Linked DNA regions of Lonchura striata. The protein of the gene in region 1 purifies or fractionates together with the protein of each later gene. This does not show direct contact. Links are inferred from orthologs where the notes say so. Each region holds a gene or a part of one and is shown in the gene's direction. Other genes may lie near its edges. The genes, in order: CAPZA2, TNKS1BP1, MTCL1 and TWF1.

Region 1 (7,660 bases):
TGGTTAGTCAGAATGGGCTGGCTTAGATAAGGTTGCTTAGGAACTTGCCCTTTGAGTTTTGGGTGTCTCTAGGAACTGAGACTGTACCTCTGGGTGAGGTGTTGCAAGGTTTGTCTAAGCCCACAGTCAAAAACTTAAATGCTGGTTAGTCAGAATGGGCTGGCTTAGATAAGGTTGCTTAGGAACTTGCCCTTTGAGTTTTGGGTGTCTCTAGGAACTGAGACTGTACCTCTGGGTGAGGTGTTGCAAGGTTTGTCTAAGCCCACAGTCAAAAACTTATCCTAATTTATGATTGTTGCAACTTATGTACAGTGCTGCTTGTCTTTTACCATGTACCTCCATAGTGAATTACTGTGCAAAGCAAATTGTTTGTCGTTTTGACAAGTGAAAAGTAATTACTTGCAGCTTGAATACAAATGAAACCTGTTATTATAAATAAAAGATCAGTGATTTCTAAGATTTCAGGTCATATATTTTTCCTTAGTACTAGTTTGAAGAAATCAGGTACCCTGTGGGAATTTTGACTTCTACCATGTTGAGGAGTATTGGGTATTGATAATGTAGTGGCGCCTGAGGACCATCAGGTCTCCTTCTTGCTGTCTTTGTACTCTCAAAACTTCTTGCAGAAGCTTGCTACCTAGGAAACCTCATAGCTCAAGTAGATAAGAGAAACAAATTGAAGCAAAAATAGAGTAATAGGACAAGTTATTGGCAAATACAGAGATGAAACTGGAGACATTACTTTATGATATAATAGGTATGGTTCTACCTTCTACCAATAGTCTTCAACCTGCAGTTCTGCTGTGAAATTCTATTTTCAGTTGGTTTCAATTATGGCAGTCAAAAAGGAACAGGAAAAGGGTTTTAGCTGTATTATTTAGCAAACCCATATATTTTTTACAGCCCTGTATACTATTCATTTTCAGGCTCTGGAAGTGGGATGTAAAGGAGTTTAAAGTGCTTGTTGAGAAATGAAAGCAGGCTTTTGAGCATGCAGCAATTAACTTTTTTAATCCTTGAGTAACAAATTTCTGAAATGTAAAATACTTCCAGTACTTTCTTAGCTTGACAGAAGGCATTAAAACCTTGAATAGGTAACTTAGAGAGAGAATTGTAAGACGCTGGAATTGGCAGGGGCAGACAACAGTTACAGTGGTATCATATTCTATCCATTTTCAGCAAGGTCTGTTACGTTCCTTTTCTCTCGCCACAGCTATTGAATCTGTGGGCTTAATGTCCTTGGAGTATCTCAGTGTAGGAAGAAGAATCACTTTAAAAGCTTGGGCTTTGTAGTAGAAGAATATTTTGCAAATATGGACCAAGTGCTTTTTAGCTTACGGTGGATACCACTTTGTAAAGACTGATGAGAAAGAGAGGCCTTGATGCTGCAACTGAGGATCATGTGTGTTCATGTCCGTGTAACAGGACATCTTGGATTTTTATGTGGAGATGACACTGTTGGTTTCTTTGTGAAGTCTTAGTTAGTAATTTCTTTTACCATGTACATCTCAAATAAAACTTAATGCTTCTGCTTTTCATGAAATGTAAAATTTTACTACTTTTTCAGTGAATGACAGCAAGGAAATAATTTTTTTGCAAGGAAGTAATTTTTTTTATGTTGTTTATCTGTTGTCTGTCTGGTCCATAAGCTTAAGTATGCAGTTGCTTGACTACAATTGTGTATATATATATATATAATTATAAATAGTTGTATAGAAATACATACATTATAAAAATATATATAAATAGCTGTGTATAAATATCTATATAATAAAAGGTTTCCAATTTTATATGCTTAGGAGTAATAAGAATAACTACAGAATAACATGGGGGAGATTCGTCTTCTCTTACTTTTTTATGGTTAGTCTTGTGTATTACTCAAATAACATCCTTTGCTTTCATATTCTTTTTTGCTATCTGTGGCTGACGCACCAACTTACAGGAGTTTGGGTTTTTTAAAATTTTCCTAATATGATGTGGTGTGTAAAGTGATTTTAAGATAGAGACTTTTATGATATTTAGATACTCTTCCGCTGAAAGGTCCTACAGTGAAGCATCCACCACCTTTCAAAGTGGTTATTTTTGTGAAAATAGATCTCATTATTGAAGTCAGATCATCAGGTAAGAATGAAGCTAAATTATCACACATTGTGTAAGATTTATTTTTTGCAGCACTGTGAAGGGCTGGTACCGTTACATATTCTTAAATACTTGTGTATTGAAAACATTTGGGGCAAACACATGTTCTCCAGATGCAGTGTAGCTTTAGGCATTACAGTTAAGGAAATGTCTGTTCAATCAAAGCCATAGGTATGGAATGTGCCCCTCCTTTCCTGTGCCACAGAACCACATTTTTACAGTGTTTTTCCTTAGCTCTTCTAGAAGCAGAAGTGAACTGGTTACTGCAGTGAATTTTCAGTTGAGCTTGGTAGGAAGGCAGTTGCAGCACTACATTTATATTCATTCCCTCTCTACCAGAGTCGTTGCCTTTGTTCCATGTTTATGTGAAATGATGCATGTTTTGGGATGCTGTTTTGCTGTTTGAAGTTATACCTGTGGGTATGGTGAGGTTTATGAGATACAGTGAAGGCAGTTTGCTGCTGACATGGGGTAATTACTTTCTCACAGTTTAATTCTCGGAGCTTGTCCAGCTGTTTGAAGGCTTTTTAGCCTCACTAAACTGTCAACAGCAGGAAGCAATAATAATTATTTAAAGCTCTTTTTTAGCTAAATTGGTTGTTATCTTCTTGCCACCTTCCTTTAGCTAGATCAATTTGCTTGTCTGAATACTCACAGAAATAGATGAGCACTGATGATACATAGGAGTTTGTAAAAATAGTGGTGTAACATTCTGGGAAGTATCTAACCTAAAGATTTAATGAGCAATTGGAGCCAGTACTACCGAATATCTGGCTCTCCAAAGGGGAAGCCAGTTACATTTTCTTGAAACACCAAAAGGTTTACAAAGTCAAAAACTATGTTGATGTTTGGCTACAGCACCAAACATTGTATCCTGCAAATATTTGAACCTTAGACTGTGCTCCTTGATGTGTTTTATTGTCAATGCAAAATTCATTTCGAGTGGTAGATGTCAGAGAAGTTTTGCTTTATAAGGAAAAATAAAGCTGCATATTGAAAAATAATGTTACAGCTCAAGCTGAACTCAAATCACAAGTTTGTTTGAATGAAACTCAGAACTAAGTAAAACTAGGTAAGTGTTATGTCCAGTATCACTTCAGTGAGTACAGTCTGTATCGCTTAATTTGAGTGTGACTTACAGACTTGAGAGAATACAAATTTGCCTCATTTAACTGATGTCTGTGTTAATATTTATTTATGTGACTATGAGCTAATTGTGAGAAAACCCTGTAGCTAATTTAATTGGGACAGGACAAACCCATTTGTTTAGTTGCCTGCAGACAGGTTTTTAACAAGAACTATACAGAAGGCATGACTGAGAGCAGAGCTCTCTAGTCTCTGCTAGAGAGAGATGTGATGTGATATCTCAGTATCTTTTTTTTGCCAAACACAGGTTTCTCTGAGTGGGAGATTTATTGTATGCTGTAAGATAGCTAGGGTACCCTCAGGAATCCTGAATGCAAATGCATGATATACAATGCTTTGAGCCTGCTGTAACAGTAATAAAAGTAACTTTGAGAAGCTATTTTTATTCCCCTGTGATTAACAACAAAGTTGTCTTTGAGTGGGAATTATTGTGGGAATCTTTTGCATGCCCTCTCTCTTCTTACTTTCTCTTAGGTAAAAAGGGGTTTTTAGTATCTATTTCACTATTTCATTTTTACTGCTGTGGAGCAGTGAACTTTAACCTATTAGGAGTGTAAAGGAAGGGGTGGGTCTCCCTCCTGCAACGAGTTCACAGCTGAATTTCTGAATTTGAAATAGGGGATATATAGGAAAGAATAAGGGTGAGTATATGGTTTCACAGTATCCTACTTATCAGCATGTTTTTTCTGTGCAGCATGGATGTTGATTGAAGGAGTGAGCTGTCAGGGTGCCTAACAAACAAAACTCTGAAATACCTGTCCTTCAGTTGAGTTAAAAAGGGGGAAAGAAAAATGAAAGAGGGAGAGTTTTAATGTCTCTGTTACTGTTAGATGCACCCTAGCAGAGTCCAAGGAGTGAGCTGCCTTGGCAGGGCTGACAGTGGCACTGAGAAGCCCTGCAGTGGGAACACTTCTCCTTGACCATATATAGGCACATACAGCACACAAGGTCGGGCTTCTCCAACCAGTGTCACTTCTCATGTGGCAGGAACAGGAAGAGTGATCTCGGAGCATTTGAAGCCACTATCTATAACTTCTTAAAAATAAAATAAACTTCAGAATGTCTTAGGCTGGAAAAGATAGAGTAGGATTTCTCTCATGTACCTGATGGGTATCATGCATTGAGAAAAATTAAATTGTGAAGTAAAGGCAGAAGTATGGAAAAAAATAGATTTAGAATAACTGCCACTATTCTATACATTACTACGTTGCTCTTTGCTAGGGTAGTCTGAAAACTACAAATATTGTTGTAACTGAGTGTAGGAATTTGTTGCTAGACCAACTGTTTTAATCCCTAGCAGAATAAAGAATTAGGCATAATGCCTAATATTCATCACATACATCAATCCTGTCCTTTTCTCTTTTGCTAGGCTTCTCTGTACGAATTTTTACCTTAATTGACATAGTTTACTTTATAAAATCAATATGCTTGTAGATTTGATAAACTTTTAACTGATGTAATGGGGTAGCATTTGACTTCACTTGAATTGTGGAAGTAAACCATTGGTGATCAGATGTTCTGGGTTAGTGAAGTCTGAAGTTTATAGTTCCTTGCTACTCTGAAGACCTGAAGCTGAAAACTGACTCAAATCTACATCAATAAAACACTATCTTAAACTTTAGGTAGTGTTTTGGGAGTAACTACAGTAATAAGTGGAGAAACTTCAGGTGTTTTATGTCTTCGAGTTTTCTAAAGGAAGACTCAACTGTAGCAATTTTTTGTTACTTGCTGATACATACCTAAGTTTCTTGTACTATGTGTAAGGGTGAAGTACTCTTGAATGGAAAAACGTTTTGTCGTTTGGATTCTTAAGATATTATGATGTTTCTGTTTTGGCTTGCTCAAATCAATTTTTAGACACCTCGGCGCATTGAATAATCAGCATTGGTTGTAAATGCACCTGATCGGTTTTCTTAAAATTATTTTCAGCAGATACAACTTCCTATCTCAGTTTGACTAAAGAGCAGTTTAACTTTTTGCTTGTCACTTTATATTACAGGTTATGTGCATTTTTAATTTATCTTTTTTTAGTTGCCTGTGAACATCATATTTTATACAGAGTGCCCCTTTGTTTTAATTGTGCTTTCCCAAGTGATAGCTGAGGCTTTTTGCTGCCAAAAGGGGGAGATCTTAATCTCATAGAGGCTTATGGAGGTACATTCATTTATCCTTCAGTATCAGTCTGGGTTTGAAAAACAGAAGCCTCCTTTAGAGCATTTATTTCTGCAAAAATTCAGTGGCAATATATCTGTAACTGCTTTTCAATTCTAATGTGTTAAGTGAGACTACTGGATTTAATTCTTTTATATGGGCTTTCTGTATGTATGAATTGGGGAAATAATGGCTTTATCAGATACTCATCACAGAGAAGTTAATTCAGTTTAACTGCTGAAGGAAAATGGGATTACTTTTAAATTGGCTTTACAAAGGCAGGTTAGCAAAATACAGTGTCTTAGCTGATACACTCTCAACTTCTGAAAACACATTAGATTTTTTTGCTTTTGTAAACATGAATATACTTTATACTTGATGAGGTATTCATTGCAAATGTGCATGATTGTCTATCTGTTCTATAAAATGTTTCATCTATGATGAATTTTCACACAAAAAACTATCAGTGAGAAATTTAATTTACTTGTAAAATGTTTGTAAAAAGTAATGTCTAGGTTGGTCTGTCGTGAGGACATCTGAATGCTTTTGAATTAATATTACTTATAGTGTAGCTAATTTTATAAGAATCGTTTTTACTGATAGTGAAAAAAATAAGCAAAACCAGATCTATATTACCAAAACAGCTGAAAATGAGGTAGTGCTCCAGTTTTAGTATAGACCCAATGTCTCACCTTACAGGTGTTACCAGTTTAAAGCATGTGGCCATTCAGGGTGCAGTTTGGGCACCCATGTTTTGCTTAATTTTGCTTCTATAGCTGCTGCCTGCCTAAAACTTATGGACCTGTTATTTCACAACTCCAGATGTCTATAAGTCTTGTTTCTCTGCTTGCCCAGAGCTAACCTGGCCTTGGCAGGGGTAAGCAGTCCTGTTCACATGAAGTCAATGAATCAAGAAATGCTGTTCCTTCATCTTGAGCTGGGAGTCAGCCCACTGATAGTCATGCTGAAATCACACAACTAAATACTCGCTTTTCAGGGCTGATCCAGGACCCTATTAATTGGTGTAATGGTTTAACCCCAGGCATGCCACTAAGCCCCACACAGCCACTCAGTCAGTGCCCCACCAGTGGGATTGGGGAGAGAATTGGAAGGGTAAAAGTAGGAAAACTCATGGGTTGAGGTAAATATAATTTAAGAAGGAAAGCAAAAGTTGTGCATGCAAGCAAAGCTAAATAGGGAATTAATTCAGTATTTCCCATGGGCAGGCAGCTATTCAGCCATCTGTAGGAGAACAGAGTCCCCCATAACATGTAATGGTGACTTGGGAAGTCAAATGTCATCACTCCAAAAATCTCCCACCCTTCCTCCTTCTTCCCCCACTTTATATACTGGGTATGATTTGGTGTGGTGTGGAATATCCCTTGGTCAGTCAGGGTCACCTGCTCTGGCTGTGTGTCCTCCCAGTCTCCCACACACCCCCAGCTTCCTTGCCAGTGTGTCAGTATGAACAGCAGAAAAGGCCTTGGCTGTGTAAGCCCTGCTCAGCAGCAGCACAAACAGCTGTGATCAACACTGTGTTCAGCACAAATCCAAAACACAGTCTTCTACCAGCAACTGTTACGAGAATTAGTTCTGCCCCAACCAAAAGCAGCATTATTGGTCATTTGATAAAATGCACTGGTGATAGAACCTTGGAGCCTGTCTTACCCTTGTTCTTTGTAAGTGCTTTAATAATATATAGGTTAGCTTTGTTTTGCATTCTTTATATTGCTTTGGCTTGAGCATTGAGCTGTGTGTGGTGCCTTGACTTCAGCAAGAGGTACCAGGAGTGTGGGGATTGGTGATTAAGATAATGTGTGTAACGCAGATAAGTTTGCATTCTTCTAATTCAAAGGAGCTGATCTAAGTTGCTTTAATAAGCAGCCATAGAAGAAGGTCCTCTTGCCTCTCTGTGTCTTTTTTGAAGAGTGAACTTTGTGGCATTTATCTCAGTATAATGCAAATTCATGTTTACATGGAAGAGGAGTTGGTAGGAGTAAAGAGGAGATGGTAGGTACTTGAGGAAGCAGACAAATGCTGCCTGCAATCCAAAATGCAACATTTAGGTTAGAAAGTTGGGAACTGACAACTTTTCCATTATCCAGCTCTGAATAGTTGTGTTCTGTTAATGATCTGAAAGCTGCCTGGGCTGGTCACTTGGGATCTCATGAAGGTTCAACACTGCCAATGAGGCAGCTAAGTGCTCTCCCAGGACATTTTAACT
Region 2 (6,912 bases), on another chromosome or scaffold:
GGAAGGTGCTGTTCTAGGGCTGTGTGAGCATTGAGAGATGCTCAAACTTGCCTGGGATCACCTGGATTTGGGAGTGTACAGCCCTGGGTTTAGGAATGTTGGGCAGCTGGGGCAGTTCTGGGCTCGCTTCATTGTAATGGCATTAGGTCGTATGAGAAAGTTCTGGAAAGGCTTCAGGGGAGGCCTTGGCTGTACTTTTCAGGAAAGAGAACAGTTGGGAGGAGGGTTAAAGCCCCAGGCTGGGGTGAAGATGGGTGGGAGTTGTGGGGGAGCTTGAAACTGAGCCCTGGCACCATGAGAGCTCCGAATGTCCAGGAAGCAGAACACAACGAGCCATGTCCGTGGAAGGCCGCTCCCCCGGGGGCTGTTAACGGGAGCAGAGCAGCTCCAGCCCGGGAAGGCTCAGGGCTGTGGTGTCTGGGGGCAGCTCTGAGGCTGGTGGCCCCGTGCAGGTTCGACAGCAACGCCTCGGCCAGTTCCTCCAGCGGTGACGGCGACAGCGACCGTGATGACAAGAAACCGGCCAAGAAGGCCAAGATCGTCAAGGACCGCAAGCCCCGCAAGAAGCAGCCGGAGGTGAGGGTCTGCTATGGGAGCAGGACCAGTCCTGGAGCGGCGTCAGGCAGGTCACAGCCCCGCCTGAGCTGCCTCACCTCAGCCTCTGTCACACTTGCCAGTGCCCTGGTCAGAGCTGTTGTCTGGCCTGGTGTAGCTGCCTCCAGATGGGTCCAGGCTGAGCCTCTCCCAAGGGCACATTATTCCCATGCCCAGCCTATCCTGGTTGTTGTCAGGCTGTTCTCCAGCAGCCTGTCCCTTCAGCCCTCTCCCAGGGCTGCAGCTGGATTGCTGGGGGGTGCAGAGGTGAGCAGAGCCTGGTCCCAAGGTGTTGGGTGAGGGGTGCATTGGGCTTCCACGCATGTTCTCCACCTCCCAGAGCAAGAAGGGGAAGGACCCCAATGCTCCCAAGCGCCCAATGTCAGCCTACATGCTCTGGCTGAATGCCAACCGGGAAAAAATCAAGTCGGACCACCCTGGCATCAGCATCACCGATCTGTCCAAGAAGGCTGGGGAGCTCTGGAAGGCCATGTCCAAAGAGAAGAAGGAGGTGAGGGATGGGGAGCCCAGGAGAGAGCTGGGCCTGGTACAGGAGGGGTGGCTGGCTATGGAAGACCCTTCCTTGCTCCTGTGAGCCTGGAGTTGCACAGATGTGGAGTTGGGAAAGGGTGGGGACATCCTCAGGCTGGTGAGCTGGGTGATCAGAAGTGGGAGCAGGGCGGGGTGCTGGAGGATGGTAGAGGAGGAGGGGGGCCTCGCTGAGCCCATGCTCTGGCTGCAGGAGTGGGATCGGAAGGCAGAAGATGCCAGGCGGGACTACGAGAAGGCCATGAAGGAATACAGTGTGGGCAGCAAGGCCGACAGCCACAGGGGGTGAGTGTGCTGGCAAGGGGCTGGCAGAGCTTTGCCCCCCAAAATCGAGCTGTTCCCGGGACCAGCTGAGTAATGTGGCTCCTCTGCCTTCTGCTCACCCAACCCCATGCAGGGAGAAGTCAAAGAAGAAGAAGAAGAAGCAAGAGAAGCAGGTGAAGGGGAAGGGGGACAAGAAAGGTGCCACCTCCAAGTCCTCATCCTCCAAGTCCCCAGCTAAGGGCATGAGCGACAGCTTCAAGAGCAAGGAATTCGTATCCAGTGATGAGAGCTCCTCTGCAGAGAGCAAGAAGGAGGTGGGGGTCACAACTGGGGAAGGTCCTGGTCCCTCTTCCCTGGGGAACAACTCTCTGGGAGGGTCCCAGCCCCTCCTCCTTGAGGAACATCCTGGTGGATTCTGCTGGAGAGGCTGGGTCCTTCTGGTACTTCATGTCCTTGGGGACATCCCTTGGTGTGTCCCCAAGTCACCACCATCACCCTGTGCCTGCTGTAGCAAAGGATACTGCCCTGCCTTCATTGTCCCCTGCTGACCTGTTTGTCCCCCGCCTGCAGGACTCCGAGGATGAGGGAGCTGCCAGCCCAGCCCCCAGCTCAGAGGACTCTGCCTCCGGCTCGGATTAGCGCCATCGCAGCTGGCTTCAGGCTGGATCCCAGGTCGGGAGAGGACTGGGCGTGCCAGCCCCATGGCAGGGACCGGGGTCCCAGGCTCTGGATGGCTCCCACCTGGGAGCAGGGCCAGGTTCCCCTGTCCTCCCATGCACCCCGTGGTGGCAGGAGGTGCCAGAGGCTCCTCAGTCCCTCACATTTGTATCCCATCAATTTATTTTTTCTAAACACTTGGGTTTCTCTCTTTTTCTTTCCTTCCCTCGTTGGTTTTTTTTGGTGTTGTTTTTTTGTATTTTGGGTCCGTTCACATGGCAACTCGGGTTGAATAAAAAAAAAACCCACTGATGGTGTTTGTGTGGGTGTGGGGCTGGCTCCCCCATCCCTCCTTCCTTCCTGCAGCCATCCGGGAGCTCATTCCCCTCCTTGAACAGCTTCCAGGGCTGACTTCACTCTCTCCCCACCCTCCATTAGCGGCCCCCAGACCCTGCTCAGCCATCAGGGCTCCTAATTACAGCCCCTCGCTCGATCCTGATGCCATTTGGGGGTTTTTCTACCTCCCTCATGAGGGGGATGATCCGATTAAGGCCAGTTTCCCCTCCGGTGTTGATTGCAGCCGATTCCCGGTCTGGAACCAGCCCCGGGGGGGCCTCATGGCTGCCTGTTCCCCCCTCCTTCCGCTGCCTTTACTGGCACCGCTGGGATGGGGCTACGGGGAAGCAGGAGCCCCGCGGGGCGGCTCCGCGGTGGGCACAAGGGACCCTGGATGCCCAAATGGTGGGAGGGCTCTATTGTCACACCTAAACCGCCCCTCAGGCAGCAGCCCCGCGGCTGGCGGACCCCGGCAATGGGATCATTGGCAGGCGGGGGGGTCCTGCTCGGCTGTTGGCCCCCGAGGGCGATTGTTCGGGGAGTGCTGGAGGTCTCCAGCGTGTGCCCCCAGCCCCATTTCGGGCGCTCCCCGGCCCGCCCGCCACGCGGCGCCGCTCTGCCCCGCCCCCCGCCCCTGGGGCGTGACCGGGGCGCTCATGAATATGCATGAGCAGCGCCGGTGGAGGGTGAGTGGGGGTCTCTGCCGGCATGAGGCTGCAGGTAACCGGGATCCCCCCGGGCCCGTGGCGCCCGCGGGGAACCACGCGGCTTCGGCCCCGGCGGGCAACACGGGCCGGGACCCCCGAATTGAGTGGGGGGCTTCGTTGCCATGGGGACGGCGCTAGGCCGCGGGCGCGGCCTGCTCAGCCACTCGATCGCAGGCTCCGTTGCCACGGCAACGAGGCTAGGCCGCGCTGGCGGAGGACCCCGGGGGGCCGGACCCGCATCCCGGGGCCCCGCCGCCATCCCGGGCCGGGAAACGGGCCGGATGGTTGCCAGATGTGGGTAGTGGTGGCGGTTCCCCCGTGGAAGGCGAGAGGAGGGGGGTCGTGGGGAGGGTGGACCCCGGCGGGGCAGGAGGCAGCGAGGCGGGGAGAGGAGGGCGGCGGGGGGAGGGCAGGGGAGAGAGGGCAGGGCCGGGAGGAGGCACCGAGCGGGTTTTTCCTGTCCCCGCAGCCCCGGTGAGTCACGGGAGAGGCGGCGGCAGCAGCGTGAGACCCGTGGGGACACTAACCCCTCCTCCCCGCCCGCTCTGCGCCCCCCACGTGTGTCCCCGGCCCGCCCCCGACATGAGGCCGAAGTGGGGAAGGTGAGTGGGGCACCCGCGGCCCCTGAGAGGGGCTGGCCGAGGGTCCCGGGGGACCGGGCGGTGCCTCCCGGGCTGCCGGGGGCTCGGGGGGGCCGGGGGGTGACCTGGGCAGGGAGCGGAGATGGGGACTGGGGCAGACTGGGGGCCAGCTGGGCGCTGGAGGCTTGGCGAAGGTCGGTGAGAGTGACACGTGTGTGCTGGGACGGGTTAGCGCAGGGTCAGACAGGTAAAGGAGCGGCCCCGTGGCGGCAGGGGTGTAGTGTGGGGTCCCTGTGGTTATAGGTGGGGGCTGGGGCCGTGTCTGGGTCTGCTGCTGGGGCCAGGTTGGCTCAGGTGAGCCGGGGCCAATGTACTAAGGGTGGCACCACGGTGTGATCACCGTTTGGCACAGCTGGACAGGGCTTGCACAGGGCCCCACAGGGTGGTTGGGTTCCCCCAGGCTCGAGGCGCTCCCCAAACCGATTCTCCCTCTCTCCCCAGGGGCTGACCCTGCACTGTGCCCCCCACATCCCTGTGTCGCCATGGCCTCCCAGCCGCAGCCCCTGCACCCCACCGTGCCCTGCACTCCCCCTGCCACCACCGGGGGGCCCGGGCTGGCCGGCAGCCCCGATAAAGGTCGGTACCTCGGGCTGGGGGCCATTGGGGCGGGGGAGGTTGCTGGGGCAGCCCCCTGAGGGCTGCTCCCATTTTGGGGGGGGGGGGGCCACACCACTCCGCTGACCCCGTCCCCTTCCCTTGCTCTCTGTAGGCAGCGCACGCCCCAAGCCGCCGGTGCGGCCCAAGCCCCACGTGCTGCCCAAGCCGGCCGTGCCCGCCAAGCCCCCGGTGCTGCCCCCCACGCCGGGCCCGCGGCACCCCCGGCCCGAGCTGCCCTCAGCAGAGAAGATGAACCGCCTGGCCGGCCCCCAGCCCTACAGCGGGGCAGCCACGGGGGGGCCCCTCCGGCGCCCCTCCTTCACTGTCAGATCACCCGAGACCCCCAATGGGAAGGGGCTCTCGTCGCCCCTGGTCACGGGCTCCGAGGAGGAGGTGCCGTCGGCCCCGCCAACCCCCTCGCGCAAGGGCCCGGTGCCCTTCAAGGTGACGCCGGTGCCGGTGGCCACCAGGCCGGAGCGGTTCCCGGGCACCACCGTGGAGGAGATCCTGGCCAAGATGGACAGCAGGGAGGGCCCAGGCAGCCCAGACCGGGCTTGGCTCTCACCCTTCTGCACCGACCCCTCCTCCCGCTTCGGCTCCAAGACCTTTGTTGCTTTCCGGAAGCGTCCCAGCGGGGAGGCAGACGGAGACCCTGCAAGCGAAGCCCCCCAGATGCCCCGAGCTGCTGCAGGCGAGCTGGGAATGGGGGATGACGGACACCCTGTGGCTGAAATGAGGTGAGGGCACAGGGACCGATGCTGGGAGGAGTGGCAGTGGGAACAGGGAATATCACTCTGAGCCATCCCAGGCTTGGGAATGTAACGGAGCTGAGGTCTGGTCACCGGCACGGGGCCCGGGTTCCTCCTGAGCCGCAGTGCCTCGAGCTGCCTCCGTGGGAAGACTGGGGTGGCTGGTGCCAACCGCAGAATGGGCTGTCCCAGGCCAGGAGCTGCCTGTGGGCAGGCTCTGAGCCAGCCCCTTGGCTGGGAGTGACAGACAGGGGGTCGCTCCCCCGGGAAATGCTCCTGATTTTCCAGCCTTGCTATTTTTTCCGTTCTGGGCCATGCCAGGGCACAGGGAGCAGATCAGCAGGACTTCCAGCTGCAGGATGTCCTGGGCCAGGGCCAGGGCTTGGCCACAATCCCAAGAGCTGGGCACCTCAGGGAGAGCTGGGGGGGGGGCTGCTCTGAAACGCAGTGTGAGAAACTTGCTCCCAAAGGATCGAAAACTTTCCGGAAGGGGAGCTGGGGCCACTTTGCCTCCTTCCCCTCACAGTCCAAGCCGCAGACTGTGCAGCTGTGGCAGGGCCCAAGTCCTTGAAGGGTGGTTTGGGGCAGGGCTGTCTCGTGGGTGGTGGGAGAATAGCACTGAGGCACACAGTGAGATTTACCCCCCTTCCCCTTCTCTCGCTGCAGCAGCTCCCCCCCAGCTGGGCTGAGCTGTGCCGGGGACCCCTGTGGACGCCGGAGGCCGCCATCCCCTCCTGACGTGAGTGCTGGCCTCACCCTCCGGCGCCATGGCGGCTCCGCTCCTGGGCTCTCTCCTTCGGGGCTCTCCTGTCTCCTCCGGGGCTCCCTCTCTGCGGGGTGCGTGTCTCTCCTTTCTCCTTGGGGCGCTGGCTGCCCCTTCCTGGGGGCTTTCAGGGCCCTCTGTGCCAAAAGTCCTGTGTGGGGGTGGCGTGTGCCAACACCAGTGCCAGGCATGGGCAGGGAGCAGCTGTGAGTCACCAGCTGGGGTTCTGTGACCTGGCAGGTATGTGGCAGGGCAGGCCCCACGGGCACCCCGCCAGCCCCTTTCACTGCTGTGCTCACTCAGGGCAGTGACCAGGACACCGGGCCATGGTGACACTGCGGGTGTCAGCCTGGGCAGCAGCACCGGGTCACCCCACTGAGGGGGCAAACCCCAGCAGTGCTGGGCAGGGGGATGCCAGCCACGGGCAGGGCAGGGGGCTGTGCTGGGGGTTCTGACTTCTTCCTATTTCATTTCTTGTCTCCGTCTGTCCAGGCGCTCTGGGGGCAACAAGGGGCTGGGCAGGGAGCGGGGCTGGGGCACCAGGAGCCGCCCTGGCTGAGTCACCCAGGAGCAGCCTGGTTCTGGCACGCAGCATGGGCACTTCCTGCCCCGGGTGCAGGGAGGGGAGTGAGGCTGGAGGGAGGGACCCTCCAAGGTTTGGGGGACTGGCTTTTGGATGGATGATATTTGGAGGGGCCTCTTGAGTGATATGACCCCCTGCTGGCTTTTTCTACAGCTTTCCACTCTACAGCTGGGTGCCCTCGGACCTCCAGGCTCCCCAAGGCCTCCCACCTGCCCAGCCCCAGCCCCAGGAGCTCCTTTCCAGTCTGCTGAGCCCTCTGCCCCAGCCCCTGGCTCCCCTGATGCTCCTGCTGAGCTCCTGGCCCCAGACTCCCCCACACTGCCCCCTGGCTCCCCCAAATCCCTCACTCAGCCTCCAGTCGAGGTCCCTGTCACTTCCACCCAGGCCCCGGGCGCTCCCTCGGCCACTGAACCCCAGCTCAGTGTCTCCCATTCCCCTGGCTCCCCACACACTCCAGGGGAAGGATCCCCTG
Region 3 (7,299 bases), on another chromosome or scaffold:
TTATTAAATGCCTTATACAGCCAGTACAGCATAAAGGGATCTTGATGTGACTGATCATTCGTCTCCCTCTAATGTGTTCTGCTTGCAGCACGTTTTCAGTGCCACAGCCCGACTTTGAGCATTAATGCGAATAAATCACTTTATTAAGGTACCTGGATGAACTGGTGCTGCTTGGGACAGCGAACATTACTGTATGTTTCAATGAGAAGAAGGTGCACAGAACACAAAGATACACAGTTTACGGAGGTATCAACTCTCCAGTCTCCTTTCCAATCTGAGGTCACCCTGCCTTGTCATGGGCTTTTCATTAATCTCAGTCTCTATTTGTCAAGGGCAACTCCTCAGAAGTCAGGATGAGTTTCAGTCCTCTTTGCCTGCAGGAGCTTGTGGTTGGTGATGCACTGTGATACAAAGGACAGTTTTAAAACTAAAACATTTACCAATTTAAATGAAGTATTTAGTGGGGGAGAAAAAGGTAGGTGAGATAGAAAAAAATATATTTATTCATGTTTTTGCAATGTAAAATTTACAAGATAACCACAGGAAACTGGGCTCTGTCAGGCACTTAAGTGTCTCAGATTAATTCTCCCAGACAATTCCCAGCCTTTTGTGAATGTACTCCTTTTTTCACATCCCTAATTCTTTTCCCCTCCAGTGCAAAGAAGCCTGGCAGTGTCCCTCAGCTATTGTTTGTAGAAAAGTGGCTTATCTTGAGCCATACTTTTCCTTTCATTTTCCTTTTGAATTGAACCATTCTGTTCATGGGGCAAAGTCAAAACAGGCTACTCATAAATTATCACAGAGCAGTTCCCCTTCCATCACAGACATAAACACTTTGCAAATCTAGGACGTGAAGCTGGAATTCCCATCTATTCTTGGAATTTAGAGCCAAAACCAAGTGAGCGTGGTGACAGTAGTGCAAAAAAACCTTTCTGATATCTCCCATGTAGGGCAACATCTCTAGTATTTAGTGCTTCCATAATAATTATTGTTTCTCATTATGAAATGCAGCACTTTCCATCTCTTTCACTCTGTTTCACATTCTCATAAAGGAAAATTCCTTGAACTGCTTGGCAGTGTACTGACAAAAAAATTTTCATAATTTAAAAAAAAACCCCAAAAATAGAACTAGGAGCAAAACACTGTAGGGAACACTGATAATATGTGGTGGCCTGATAGAAATGTCTTTAAAATGTAACAGTAGTTTGTATTTTATAAGTCATTTTTCTAGATCAACTGAGCCACTTCATAGTACTTCTATAGAAGTGATAGACAGTGATTGTCTCACCCAAACAAGTAAATTACTAATGTTTTACCTGGAGGGAGAATAAGGGGACTTATACCTGTGAATGGGTTTGCTGTGTTTGACTCTCCTCAACGTGTTTTCTATATTTTTTAAAGGACTTGGCCCCACGAAGTCCTGCTGGTAGCTGTAGTAGATGTACATACCGGCAGCATCCAGTGCCATCATTGCCACAATAGGTACTTTGGTACTTTGCCGTGTGACCTGGAAGGCACATTTGGATGCGGGAACATAGCCGTCTGGCAGCGAGGCCAACGGTGGAAACTAAACAGCACTAACAGAAATGGAATTTTCAAGAGATCAAAAAAAACCCACCCAACACAGCCTGGCATCACTGCTGGGTGCCCCGGAGCAGAGCTTTCATCGTTTGCCCACTCGCGGAAGGACCACACCGCCCTGTCGAGGAGATTTGTCCTGCGGGGACGGGGAGGGACCTAGCCTCGCCCTCCGCTGCCGCTCCAAGCGCCGGCTTTCTCCCGGGGCTGGAGCCGCCCTCGCCCCCTGCCCCGCCGGCATCCCGCTCATCTCCGCTCTCCTGGCTGGCGCTGCCCATGCCCGGGGCTCTGTCGTGGAACTGCTCACAATTCCTAGAGACCTGTAAATACAGCTCTGATTTGGATGGTTTTTTTCACCTTTGCAGCCTTTACAAAGTAAGGACTACCTGTTGCATACTCATGCGGTAGCGCTATTCCGCAGGATAAATCAGTGTTCACTTCGTTTACCGGGAGAAAGGAGCCGGGGATGCCCGGGCGGTCCGGTCCTGTTTCTTCCCTGGGCAACGCGACCTGGCCCCAGCACCGGCCTGGCACTGTCAGAAACAGCTGCCCGCCCTGGCCACCCGCCCCGCGGTGCCTTTGCCCTCAGGCTCCAGCAGACCTTGGGCTTTTGCCTTTAGGGGTAATGCCTTGAGCCCAGATGAGCGGGGGATGTGGAGCGCCGCAGGGTGCTGCCACCATCCCATCCCCCCTAAAACGTCTGGGACTGTCCTCCCCCGAGCGCGCTGCAGTCCCTGACATCCAGACGTGGATGATCCGCGCCACCCAAGGACTTCAGAACCTAAGCACGCGTTTACTTTCGTCTGACAAGATAAGGCAGCCACCGCGGCTACTGCAAGGTCCGCTGTGTCCCAGCGGAAGAATCGGAAACATCCCGGCTGGAGAGCCTTTGCTCTCCCCATTAAGGCTGTGCACTTTTCCCACGCCCGAGCCTCTCCTCCCTTTCATTTATTCTCCGGGTGCTTTGCAAACGTAAGAGCTGCAATTTCATATCCTCGTACTCCAAAAAGACGTGTCCGTGCCTTTTGTAGTTCAGCCAGAGCCAGGAACTTGCTGATATCCTCGGATACTCGGCTCCGCCTCTAGGTGAACCTGTATCTGCCTTGAGCAGGGAGATAATGCGGTGGCTGTTGTTTTGCTGCTGCCAGTCCCTGGAGAGAGCATTTCCATGAAGTCTTAGCTCGGGGGGAAAAAAAATCCAAAACAACCAAAACTGACAACGCTATATAGCTCATGACCGAGAAATCAAAATTTCTCCCTAAAATTACTGATAGGAAAAGGCTGGCAGAGGCGTCCCTATAATAAAGCGTGCGAGGAAAGTAGTTTGCGGGGCGGGAGGAGAGCTGCCTGGCTGGTTGACAGAGGGGGCGGATCCTGCGCACGGGCGGGCAGCGCCGAGTCGGAGCGGCCCCGGCAGCCGCGGGGCTATTTCAGGAGCCGGGCGGAGGCGGCGGCTGGAGCCGGGGCAGTGATGGGGTTAGCGGCGCCGGTGGGCTGAGCGGGGGACTTGCAAGTGGAGGCGAAGGCAACCGGGAAAACACGCCTTTGCCTCGGATTGGGTGGGAAACGGATCGGTTTTTTGGGCTGCATCACAACTTGAGCAGCATCAAGCTGAGCCAGGCGGAGAGGGGAGCGGGAGGGGAAGAAGAAGGAGGAGGAGGAGGAGGAGGAGGAGAAGGAGGAGACGGCTGCCACCGGGGGATTTGGGCTCGATTTATTGAAACAAATCAGTGCTCGGGAGAGAGCGGCGAGGAGGAGGAGAAGGTGGGGGTGGGGGGGCAGGAAGAGGGGGATCGAGAAAGAAAAGTGTGAGGGCTGTGGCTGGGAGAAGCAGAAGTGATGAGAGAGCGAGCAGGGAGGCTGGAGGAGGCTGCCCGTCCTGCCGCCGCGCCCCGCGGGGACCGCCGCTCCTGCCGCCGCCGGGCGGCCCCGCGGCCGCCGCTGCCGCCCCGCCGCCCCCGGCCCGCGCCATGGAGGCGCTGAACGGCCCCGGCCCGGGGCCCGGCGACGCGCTGCGGCCGCCGCCGCCTTCGCCCGGCCACCACCACCCGCACGCCGAGAAGAAGCGGCCGCACCGCGCCCCGTCGCCCGCCAGACCCTTCCTCAAGGACCTGCACGCCCGCGCCGCCGCCAAGCCTCCGCCCGCGCCCCCCAAGTCCCCCGGGCTCCCCGCCCGGGCGCCCTCGTCGCCGCACCCGGGCGCCCACCAGCCCTCCGCGGGGCTCCTGGCGGCGCCGGGCCGCCTCTCCCGCCGCCCCGCCGCCCCGGGGGGCAAGGCGGCCGCCGCCGCCGTCACCGCCGTCGGCAGGGCGGGCGCCAAGGCCGCCCCCTGCGCCAAGCGGGCGGCCCGCGGTCCGGAGCCGGGGCCCGGCGGCCGGGGCGCGGGGCGGCAGCCCGGCGGGGAGGCGGCCCCGCCGCCCGGCAAGGGCAGGAAGGCGAAGCGGGGAGCCGCGGCGGGCAGCGGCCATGCGGCGGCGGCGCTGGCCCGCGTCGGCCACACGGACAGCAGCTCCGACCTCTCCGACTGCCCCTCCGAGCCGCTCTCCGACGAGCAGCGCCTGGCCCCGGCCGCCAGCAGCGACGCCGAGTCCGGCACCGGCTCCAGCGACCGCGAGCGGGAGCCGCCCGCCGCTCATCCCGCCGCTCATCCCGGCGTTCATCCCGCCGCCGAGCAGCCCCGCGCCGGCCACGGCCCTGGCCCCGGGCGCGGAGCTGCGCCGGCCCCCGGCTTCCGCGGGGATGTGCTACCCGCGGCCACGGGCGGGGGGCGAGCCCCGAGCCGCGGGGAGCCGCCGCCGGCGGCCCCGGAGGAGCTGCAGCGGGAGGTGGAGGAGCTGCGCTCGGAGAACGAGTACCTCAAGGTGAGCATCGCCCGCGGAGCTCGGCCTCGGCGGGGAAGGGAAGGGCGGGAGGCGGCCGCGGTAGAAACGCGGCCCCCTCCTGCCCAGGAACGTGGGGACAGCGCGTGGAAGTAGGGGAAGAATATTCGCGCTGCCTGGAGTCACCTCCCATGGGACCCCCGCGCCCGCTGGTCCAAATGCCAAATTTTACCTGCAGGAGGGAAATAGGGGCAGGGAGAGCCAGCCGGGTGCCTCGGCCCCCTCCTTCCCCGCCCCCACGAAGCGGGACCCGGCACGGCTTAAGGGACTTAAGCGTATGATCGCGGCCCCCTGCAAAGCCCGGTTTGTGGGCGCTGGATGAACGTCAGTCCGATGCAACATGTACCGTGGCAATGTTGCGTTTGGTTGACGTGGTGGTAGCTCAGCAAACCCCGACTCTTTCTAAAGCACTGCAAACATTCTACTGGTTAGCAGAACTTTGCTTTCCAGGAACTGATTTCCTCAGTGTCACCCTTTAGGAAAAGGCAAAGGAACAGGTTCCCTCATTTGATGTGGAAAGGATGACAGCATTATGTGCTCTGCTTATTGCGTTACTTTATCTCTGGAAAGTGAAGCCACTCGCTGTGCAGTACTAAGAGAACAACAAGAGCAGCAAGAAAAAAAGTGTCATTGCATCCTTGTACAGGATATCAGTATGAATCCATCCTCGGAGAAACAGGAAAGCTAAATTCAGGCAATCTCTGAGCTGGGTTGACCTGTGGGAACCTTTAGTTGGACTTGTACTTACAATCTGATCTTTTGGCAGAGCAAAGAAGCTACATCCATAAAGATCTATAAATAAGATAAACTGAGATAATCCTGTAACCACAACCACTGTTTGGCTCTACCTCTGGTGAAAACAATCTTTGTTCCCCGATATTGGGAACACCCTGTTGTCAAGCAAAAGAACCATATAAATCCATGTAGATCTAGCATTCTTTCTCAAATAAGAGTGGGAGTTTTATGTATAGCCTTGGGAAAGAAGAGTGATAAAGATACAAGCTAGGCTCGTTAAGGGGTTTTGGCTAAGTTACACGAAACAATATTCAGCATAGCAAAAGGGTAACAGCAGGGGTGCTGCAAGGTTCTTTGCCAGGTCTGGTGCTGCTTAGTGAACTGGAAAAAGGAACAAGCCATGATACAGCAAAATTTTCAGAAGACATTAAATGTTTCTAGCTTAAGTAAAGTCTGGCAAAGATAGAACTTAATAACAAAGTTAACCCCTGAGGAATGTGTGAAAAATGGAGGCAGAGGATGGTAAATAAATCCTAATATGCAAAATCTTAAGTACTTGGAGGGAATAAGTATGCACTTTTCTGTTTAAATGTGTTAACTCAGGAGCGTAATGAGAAAAGGAGAAAGGAAAATCTGCAAAAATGGTTAGATTACAGCGGGAACTGAACAGAGACTAACTAAAAAAATCTGGCAATATTTTATAAAACTGTAGTTGTTACACAGGTCAGTGAGTGTACCTGAAATACTGTGGGCACTGCTGGTCATCTAGAAAAGGAAAATACAAAACCAGACCAATAAAAATTATTGGCTCATAGAAAAGCTTTTATAGCACTCATTGGATGGGAAACTCGAGTGTGGTAAGGATATGTAATAGTCTATAAAAAGATGAGCAGCACAGAGAACCTTTATCACAAGCTTCTGTTTTATTTGACAGCCTAGAAGCAAGAGGAGATGTAATGAAATCAGAATTGATAATGGGAATCACTTAAGGAGTAGCTAACTGGCACTGCCATTAGAAGTCATGAAGTCCAAGAGCATCTCTTTGCATTACAGGATTTGAACAAGTATATGAGTGTTATATAATTAAACCCATTACAAAGTATATGTCAAGTTCTCTTTATACTGAAGGTGATTTTTAACTATGGGAAACTGGCAAAAAAAAAAAAAAAAAAAAAAAAAAGAGCGTGTCAGAATTGCCCAGGACAGACCCTTGTTAGTGTGTCCCACCTGAGGAGCCCTGTAATCATGCGACCTAGTTGGCAATGGCAAGTCTTAGGTAAAGAACTTTATTATCTTCATTCCAAATTTTTCACCCTGTGCAACAATGCCCTCAGATCTTTCACCTTGATATCTTAATCATCTACAGCATTTGTTTCCTCACACTTTTTTTGATTCAGATTGTGACTTTATCACGTTCAAAATATTCCTGAGTCTCGGAGGATAATACAGACTGGTTTCTTCGGTGGGCATGTCCTGATGCCTGTAAAGCCATGAACTAATACCATTGCCTCTTCTGAGGGAAATGAGTACATTTTCTGCTTTGCTTGGCCACCTTGGTGTGTGAGGTCTTAATTCTGCTTCTCTCTCAAAATGGTTGGAAACGGCCCAGTGGTGCAAAAATTTTATCAGAATTCCCAATTCTCATTTGCCTCTCCTAGGAAAACCTATAAAAAAGTCTGCAAATTAAAACCACATCACTGTCTGAGTTGTTTACTTGTGGGTTTGTTCCATGTGTTTTTTACAATGCAGTTCTCTTGGTTGGCATTGGAGTGAGCTGTGTTTCTCCAGAGGGGGCTAAGGGAAAACAGGGATGCTGTCAACTGTAAATAGACAAATTATTAGATAAATCCCAGAAGAAACTGTTAATTTCCTGAGCATGGCCACAAGCCAAATTTTGTGGGTTTCACTCCTCCTTATCCCTCCCTGCAGCTGGAGTGCAGGCCTAAGTGCACATAATAAAGTCTTTTTCAGGGAATTTTATCTTTCAGGTAGGAAGGTCTTTCATGTATCTTTCATGTGTCTGTAACAGGTTATCGAAGATACACACACAGATACTTAGTGCTAAAGATTACTAGAGATTAAAGTGTTTTCAGAAAGAAAAAAAACC
Region 4 (7,644 bases), about 4.9 Mb from region 1:
ATGGGATGGACTGCACCCTCAGCAAGTTTGCAAACAACACGCTGAGTGGCGCAGTTGACTCCCAGTGAAACACATGAGGTCCAGTAAGGTCAAGTGAAAAGTCCTGTACCTGGGTTGGGGCAATCTCTGGAATCAATAAAGGCTGGAGGATTACTGGATTGAGTCCTGCTGAGAAGGACTTGAGGGTACCGGCGGATGAAAAGAAAATAGTAAAGAGCCAACAATGTCTGCTTGCAGCCCAGAAAACAAGCTGTACTCTGGGCTACTCTGGCTAGAAGTGTGGCCAGCAGGTTGAGGGAGGTGATTTTTACCCCTACTCAGCTCTGATGAGATTCCACCTGAAGCACTGCATCCATGTCTAGAGTCCTCAGCACAGGAAAGATGTGGAGCTGTTGAAGAGAATCCAGAGTAGGGTCATAAAAATAATCAGAGGGATAGAATACCTCTCTTATGAGAAAAAGCTGAGAGTGTTTGGGTTGTGGAGAAGACTTCTTCTTGCATTTTTTCAATACTGAAAGGGTGTTTATAGGAAAGGTGAGAACAGTCTTTTTGGGCCTGTAGTGAAAGGAAAAGGAATAATGGTTTAAACTAAAAGATAGTCGATTCAGACTAGATATAAAGAAGACATTTTCTACAGTGAGGGTGGTAAAACACTGGAAAAGATTATCCAGAGAGGCAGTAGATATGCCACTCCTGCTAACATTCAAGGTCAGGTTGGATGGTGCTCTGAGGAACTTGATATAGTTGAGGATGTTTCTGCTCTTTGCAGGAGGTTGGATTAGATGACCTTAAGGGTCCCTGCCAACCCAAAATATTCTATGATTCAATGTTACATCATAGCCATACATATCATGAAGAAACAGGCAGAAACTATGAGCTCAGAAAGGGTAGACAAAATGTCAAAGAAAATATAAGATAAATGACCAAAACGCTAAAATATTGATACTCCTAGGCTACAAAGGCCCAGAGACTCTGCAACACAAATTAAGAAAGGAAGTGACTTGGGACTTTGTCTTCAGCATCAAGTGCAAACAATGCCTTGGCCAGAGCTGCGTTTGCTTCCTCTGGAATTAGTTTGTACTAACTGTACCTTGTCAAAGAGGAACTGCCATCTCTAAAGTAATGGAAAACAAGATCAACAATTGCACAAATCATCAGTGCTGATGTTTGAGCTGATACTATTTTACAATGACTCAATGCACTCATCTAAAGTAAATAATAAAAGAAAGTGGAAATGGGCATGAAAGGAATGTTGCCCAGCATGTCTCTTTTGAGTTCACTAGGAAAATTACTGGATCCATACTAGTGCTGCACCAGTTTATAATCCTAGATCATCTGCCACTAAAAGCATTTCACAAACTTCCTACTAGTAGATCCTGTTTGTACCAAAGTCAGTGAGAAAATTCTTAATTATTTCAATAGGGTTATTGTATCCTTCACATAATGTTAGGAAAAACAGAAGGATAATCTCTAATTTTTGTAATATGCATTTTCACCTAATCATTGCATATGCCTTGGTATTATTTTTTATATATTTGTAATAACAGGAATATTTGAGTGAGGAAATATTTTAGAAAATTACTGCTTTCCAGAGTACTCAAAGCTACCTACCAGCTCATTAGATTCATGAAAACTTTAAATACTGCTCTGTGTTTAGACATGACTACTGGCCAGACAAGCAACCCCTGCAGGAGGTAATTAACGATCTTGGCAGATAAGATCTACTCTAAATCTAGACGGTATTGTGTTTGGTGGCTCTCTGCCAGGACTCACTAGCTTTCTAAAAGGGGTCCTTCTCCAGCCACCATGTGCTGGGTTGTCAGTATGATCATCCAAATGGAACTGAAACAATCCCAAGAATATTTTCTTTCTCTTGGAGTAAAAGCTAGCAAATCAAATGGAGTGGAAGGTAGAGTAGTCCTAGTTGACATGAAAACATACAAGGAGAGGCTGCTGTAAGACATACCTAGTCTCTTAAAAAAAAAGAAAAAAAAAAGGATATTTGAATTTTTTTTTTCTATCTTGACTTACAGATAAAAGTTTTACATGAATACAAATAGCACCTCCTGTTTGCCTTGGAGTTTTTTTCCTATACAAGATCTCCATTTTTAATATAAGTGTTATATAAGTGAAGTTTCTGTTTGGTGGCAGGAAGACTGTCTTCACTCTAGTTGAATGAAAATAGCAATATGCCTCCTGTTACTGCTTTGCTTTATCATCTTCGATCTTTATGGTCTGGATAGGAGTTTAATGATTTAGAGCAGTTTAGTAAGAATCTGAAGGACACTAAAATTTAGACCTTTAGGAATCTTCATTAGATATAAAAATCCCTACTAGCTTGTGTTAGTTTCAAAGCAACATCTCTTCTTGGTCACACATTAATCACTGTAATATAGGAAAATATATGTGATACTTTTTTTTTTTTAGATTTTAAAGAAAATATATTTGATGTTCAGTTTGTCTTTTTGCCAAAAAGGTGCTACAAAATGTCAATATGTACCAGTCTTGTTTAATATAAAACTGATGTTAGGATCACATTCCTACACTTCAGAGCCCTCAGACTGGTGGAAGCTGTAGTGGTATGACCTCAGACAGACAAATAAGACAATCTGAATATAGTGACAAATGTTATACCATTTTGATATTTCCAGTCTAGGAAATATCAAATTTCCACTGAAAAAAAACAGTTCCACAGTTTTAGCTATACATCCTTGTTACCACACTGTGACAGTAGTAGTGGTTCTAGGGACACATGACTAACTGGAGCAAGGAACTGATTGGTGTTTTCAGGCATCTGTCTATAAATGAAAACTTCTTTATCCCTCATATACTTTTCAGGCAACTTCATCCATTACAAGCACTAATTCCAAAACAGGAGAAACCCAAGAATTTAGGAACAAGCTTGGGACCAAATAATTTAAAGTAATTGCGATAGAACCACATCTTTTGTTGCCATTTTAATTGGATCTCTAGTACTCCTTTCCTCTTGAGAAAGTTCTCCTCCAAGAGTTTCTTTTTTGATATAATCCTGGTGCTCCTGGAGCCTTACAATAGAGGAACAAGAGCCAACCACTGAGTACCTGGTAGGTGCTACCTGTCTCTTATTTCCTGGTTTCACATGAACCCTTTTCCCTGTTTCTTTCAGCCTCCTTGCTAGAAGAAAGAAAAGCTGCAGCCTCTCTGTTTGCCCAGCTGCTGTTAGTGCCAGTTCATTAGCTGGTGACATGTCTCCACAGTGACTTTGTATTTGCTGGTCTAGCATTACACAGCACAGTTCACATAACAGTTACAGTGATGTTTCACATTTCCCAAATAGGACACTAAATCCCACATGTTCTTTAAACTAGGGATCTGACAAAGCACAGGCACACACATTTATCAACACAGCTGACTTCAAAAATTCCTGAGCTGCAGCATCCCGGAGGCTGAGAAGGTGAACCAGGGAAGGATTACCATGTGCCTGTCTTACTTTTCAATTCTTGCCTGGTCCATTGGGCTGGATATTTGATATGCCCTCTTATAGCACTTCTTGTGTTCTCTAGCTGAATAGCACCCCTAAAAATCTGCTAACTCCCAGGAATCTGAAGGAATCATCAGCATCAATGACTACAGCATGCACATTTTGTCTGTGAAGTCTTAATCTAGAACCACAGCACAGATTACAAATGCTAACCGCATGACAATGAAGGGGTTTTTAAAGAAGCTATAGTACCCATCTTTTTGTTGTTAAGATGATGGTGCTTCTCAACCCATGGATGAACCTGAAAAAGCTAGCAAAAGCAAATAAACCTTCAGAGCATGCTTAAATTCATAATGCAGGACTCTCCTTCACTGGAAACTTTGAAAGAAAAAGCTGAAGGAAACTATCAACACAGTTTGAAAAGGCATAAAGGAACCTTTGGCCATGCGGATAGGGTCCTGAGAAGCAGATGCACCCTTCCTAAGCATGGATCCATGCCCTGCCGAGGAAGACGAGTGTCTCAGTCACCAGATCCGCACTGAAAGAGAAGAAGTCTTCATTGTTTCTGTTGATACGGTGCCACCACGTACCACGTACTGCAAAATTAACAGAGAAAGACTGCCTTGTCAGAGGCAAGGGCTTGAACGGAGTGAGCCCTGGCTCTGGGCTCTGTTCCGACTTGTGGGCTCTTTGTTAGGGACTTTAATCCAAATTTCCAGTATATGCATGCAGCCTGCTGTCACACACACACCTGATGACTCCTGCGCTGCCCTAAGCGAGAGTGACAGGTCTCCATCATGGGCTTCTACAGATCAGCTAAATTCACCTCAGTTATTTTCCAGTACTTCGGTTAACAAGCAACCCGGGCCGCAGGGCACATGTCCCTTCCTGCGGGGCAGGACTGACAGCAGGCTTTGCGCCCGCGATGCCCGCGGCTCCGGGACAGCAGGTGAAGAGGGCGGCAAACAGGAGAGGGAGAGCAGAGGGTAGAGGAGAGGGGAAAGCAGCGCCCCGTCCCCGCTCCGGAGCGCCGAGAGGAGGCGCGGGGCAGCGGCGCGGGGCGGTGCCGGGCAGGGCCGGCCGCCCCGCAGCCCCCGGCCGGCGGGGCCCGGAAGGCGCCGCGCTCGCTCCCGGCCGCTGAGTGGCGGCGGCGCGTCACGTGCGCGCGGCCGGGCCGGGCCGGGCCGTGCCGGGCGGGCGGCGAGGGAGGGAGGGAGGGAGGCGGCGGTGCCGGGCGCGGTGCGACATGTCCCACCAGACCGGCATCCAAGGTACCCGCGCGGCTCCCCGCAGCTCCGCTCCGCGCTGCCCGCTGCTCCTCATGACAGCCGGCCCCGTCTCCGCCGTGGTCCTGCCGGGCGGGCGGGCGGAGCGCCTTTCTCCGCGGGTCGGGGCGCGGCGCTGAGCGGGCCGTTCCCGGCGGGATTTTCCCACTCCTGCGCTCTTTGTTTGCTGCCGGAGGAGCCCGTCCTTTGCGCCGGGCGAGCGACCGGGGGAACTGCCGCTGGTTTCGTCCCCGGCGGCCACGGCTCCGGGGTCGAACCCCTAGCGCCGTTCCCATTCGGGTGAAGCATGCAGGGCTTATCGGCCCAGCGAAGCGCGCCTGTCCGCCCCGGGGAGGCAGGGAGCCCGCCCGGGGCAAGTGTTCGCTGCAGAGCCCCATGGATGGCGGGCACGGCCCGCCTGGGCTCAGGTCGCTCCCGGTGCAGTTTTCCTGCGGTGGCGGAGGCAGCGTCGAGCCGGGGGCTGTCGCCTGCTCGGGGTCGCCGTACCGAGTTTGGGATGGGTCGGACAGCACGGGAAATGCGGGGATCGCTGCTGGGTCCGTCGGAGCGAGAGCTCTGGGGAGGAGCAGGAGCCCTGGCGTAGGAGGGTCCGCTATAAAGCCCATCACTGGAGAGAGGCCACAAAGGGGGAAAGTATGTGGGAACCTGTTTTCCCGTGCTTCCAGGCCTTGGACGGTGCGAGGAGCAATTAGAAGGAGACAGTATTGTTTCGCAGTATTAGCGGGTTCCCCTGAATCACAGAATTGCTAAGCAGGGATTATATAGCAGGATTATGGAGGGCTCGGGTTTTACTGTCTGGATTTCTGCAATCTCCGTGTTCGGTGACTAGTACCATGTACTTTGCCTGCTCTCCGGTATTTATTGTTGAAGGTGACTTTTGTCCCAGCACGGCAGCCCTTAGCTGCTCTTCTATGCCCTTTTTTGTCTATTAGCTGCATATGGTTTGCACTCTTTCCCCTCTCTTCCTTCCTTTGCATGCCAATCTTTGATCTTTTTTTGCAGCTTGTTGTTTTAAGTTCTTCAACCACTCTCAGGCTAGAGGTGCACCTGGAATGGCTTTAATTTTCCAGTCTGGGGAAACCTGTTAGTAAATCATAATCCCTTGTTCTCCTGGCAATGCTGGCAGGGAGGAGCAGAATACTCTGTTGTAAGCAAAAGAATGGCTAATCCTCTTCTGCAGCTCTGCTTCGTTTCTGAGAATCATTTGTCCTCGGAGGAGAGCTGTAGAGAACTCGGCAGCTTTCCTTTGGGAACCTGCCTCAGCAGGCACTCATCAGGAGTCCTGTTTGCAGCAATGCATCAGCCCTTGCCATTTGGAAGAGGAGTAGCTCTACTTGTGCCATTGCTGGCTTTAGCTACAAACAGGCTACTGTCACTCATAAACAATTACAATATTTGGCAGCATGGGCTGCTTTTTTCTGGAAACAAATGAAGTCATGGGCACAGTGATGTGTACCAGGCAGTTGCTAAAAGGACTGGACTTTTTAAACAGGCCAGTGCAGAAGAACACTGTAGGAAGTTACAGAATGCAGTAACTAGGGTGAAATACAATTGAATGAGTTTACAGTCCTCTAAATAATTTTAAAATAATATGCCCTGCAAAATAGTTGTGAAATAAGCCCAGATTTTGATTCGGTGGCCCTCTGCTATGCAGAAAGTTTAAACAGAAAATAATATAATTTTTGTGATTTTAAATACCTTCATGATGAAAAAAAAAACATAAATCACTTGATAGTGAGCTGGTTTCGTAAGTGTCTCTAAATATTTTTTCAGGAAACAGTTCTGGAATTGGTATAGAGACATGCTGTATTCTGTTCTTGTTTTGGTGTGTAGTGTTGAAATGAGATAATAAGGAACAAAAGGATAATAGACAAGAAGAGGACAAAGAATATTCTGGGGCAACAAAAAGTCTAGAAAATGGCACAATGTTTGGTTGCTCAGTGGAATGGTGAAGACCAACAGAGATGATTAGAAAAGCTGTCAGCAAATTACTGTGACGGTCTGCACTGGTTAGTGGGAAGAAGACAGCTGGGATGAAACTGGGGTTGAACTGGAAACCAAATGCAATTCAGTTTGCTTAACATGTTCTTTTAACATGCCATTTTGGACTCTCAGAATGGGCCTGGCGCCACTTGGACAAACATAAATGTAAAATGTTGTGAGTATGGGCAGTAATGTTGCTGGATACCATCTGTTCATTTGGCCTCAACCTGACTATAAATAATCTATTTTATTAGTTTCCTGGTTTGATGTTTGTTTTGCTGGTACTGTGCTCTATCCTATGGGATTACTTAAAGGACCAGCTTGCAATAAATGTTTCTCAGTAAATCCTTACACTCTCAGTCTCTGGTATAATTAAACCAATTTGCACTCAGATTATTTAGCAGAGCAGTTAAGATAACAATAGTCTTCACGCCAGTCAAGAGCACTTCTTCAGTGTGCTTACGGAAGTGAGTCTGTCATGTTGGTGGTATAGTGTCAATGTGATTTACAAGCATGTAAAAATATTTTAGTTACATTGTAAATTCACTATAAAGCTATCTTGTTACAGTAGGTTGGGGCTTGAACAATGTCCTCGACCATAGAAGGAGATAAGGAGGTATGAACGATGAGCAATGAGTGGTAGCTTTCACTGGTATGCTGCAGAGAGGTGCTCTCAGGAAAGACCATCACTTCAGCCAGACAAGCTCTAACATTTTCCTGGCAGGCGTAACGTTTCTGTCTGAAAGTTTGTACTAAGCCTGCAGACTTCTTAAAGCTTTTGTAATTTGAGATGCGTCATATTTTTATTGTGTTGCTGTGTTAACTCTGAAACATGAGATTGATGATATGATGTCACCTGTAATTTTCACAATGTTGAAAATCATTTGGTATGCTAGAAAGCAGGGCTGTTTTGTA

What was found.
Region 2: the proteins of CAPZA2 (region 1) and TNKS1BP1 purify together in Homo sapiens (affinity purification with mass spectrometry; 4 studies listed by BioGRID and IntAct, counting the BioPlex papers as one, with this or other methods). This does not show direct contact. The link is inferred for Lonchura striata from reciprocal best matches to the Homo sapiens genes CAPZA2 and TNKS1BP1.
Region 3: the proteins of CAPZA2 (region 1) and MTCL1 purify together in Homo sapiens (affinity purification with mass spectrometry; 3 studies listed by BioGRID and IntAct, counting the BioPlex papers as one, with this or other methods). This does not show direct contact. The link is inferred for Lonchura striata from reciprocal best matches to the Homo sapiens genes CAPZA2 and MTCL1.
Region 4: the proteins of CAPZA2 (region 1) and TWF1 purify together in Homo sapiens (affinity purification with mass spectrometry; 3 studies listed by BioGRID and IntAct, with this or other methods). This does not show direct contact. The link is inferred for Lonchura striata from reciprocal best matches to the Homo sapiens genes CAPZA2 and TWF1.

Annotation. Positions count from the first base shown.
Region 1 is NC_134607.1:34,494,496-34,502,155, reverse strand, and holds the start of CAPZA2 (F-actin-capping protein subunit alpha-2), read left to right. Parts: upstream 1-4,646; 5' UTR 4,647-5,433; coding exon 5,434-5,535; intron 5,536-7,660. UniProt on the Homo sapiens protein: F-actin-capping proteins bind in a Ca(2+)-independent manner to the fast growing ends of actin filaments (barbed end) thereby blocking the exchange of subunits at these ends.
Region 2 is NC_134608.1:53,173,510-53,180,421, reverse strand, and holds the start of TNKS1BP1 (182 kDa tankyrase-1-binding protein), read left to right. Parts: upstream 1-3,911; 5' UTR 3,912-3,935; intron 3,936-4,189; 5' UTR 4,190-4,230; coding exon 4,231-4,324; intron 4,325-4,457; coding exon 4,458-5,082; intron 5,083-5,760; coding exon 5,761-5,833; intron 5,834-6,593; coding exon 6,594-6,912. Other genes in the region: FACT complex subunit SSRP1, read left to right, coding at 453-576, 935-1,105, 1,337-1,428, 1,541-1,721, 1,978-2,046.
Region 3 is NC_134603.1:51,366,815-51,374,113, forward strand, and holds the start of MTCL1 (microtubule cross-linking factor 1), read left to right. Parts: upstream 1-4,284; 5' UTR 4,285-4,439; intron 4,440-7,299. UniProt on the Homo sapiens protein: Microtubule-associated factor involved in the late phase of epithelial polarization and microtubule dynamics regulation.
Region 4 is NC_134607.1:39,397,520-39,405,163, reverse strand, and holds the start of TWF1 (twinfilin-1), read left to right. Parts: upstream 1-4,644; 5' UTR 4,645-4,706; coding exon 4,707-4,731; intron 4,732-7,644. UniProt on the Homo sapiens protein: Actin-binding protein involved in motile and morphological processes. Inhibits actin polymerization, likely by sequestering G-actin. By capping the barbed ends of filaments, it also regulates motility.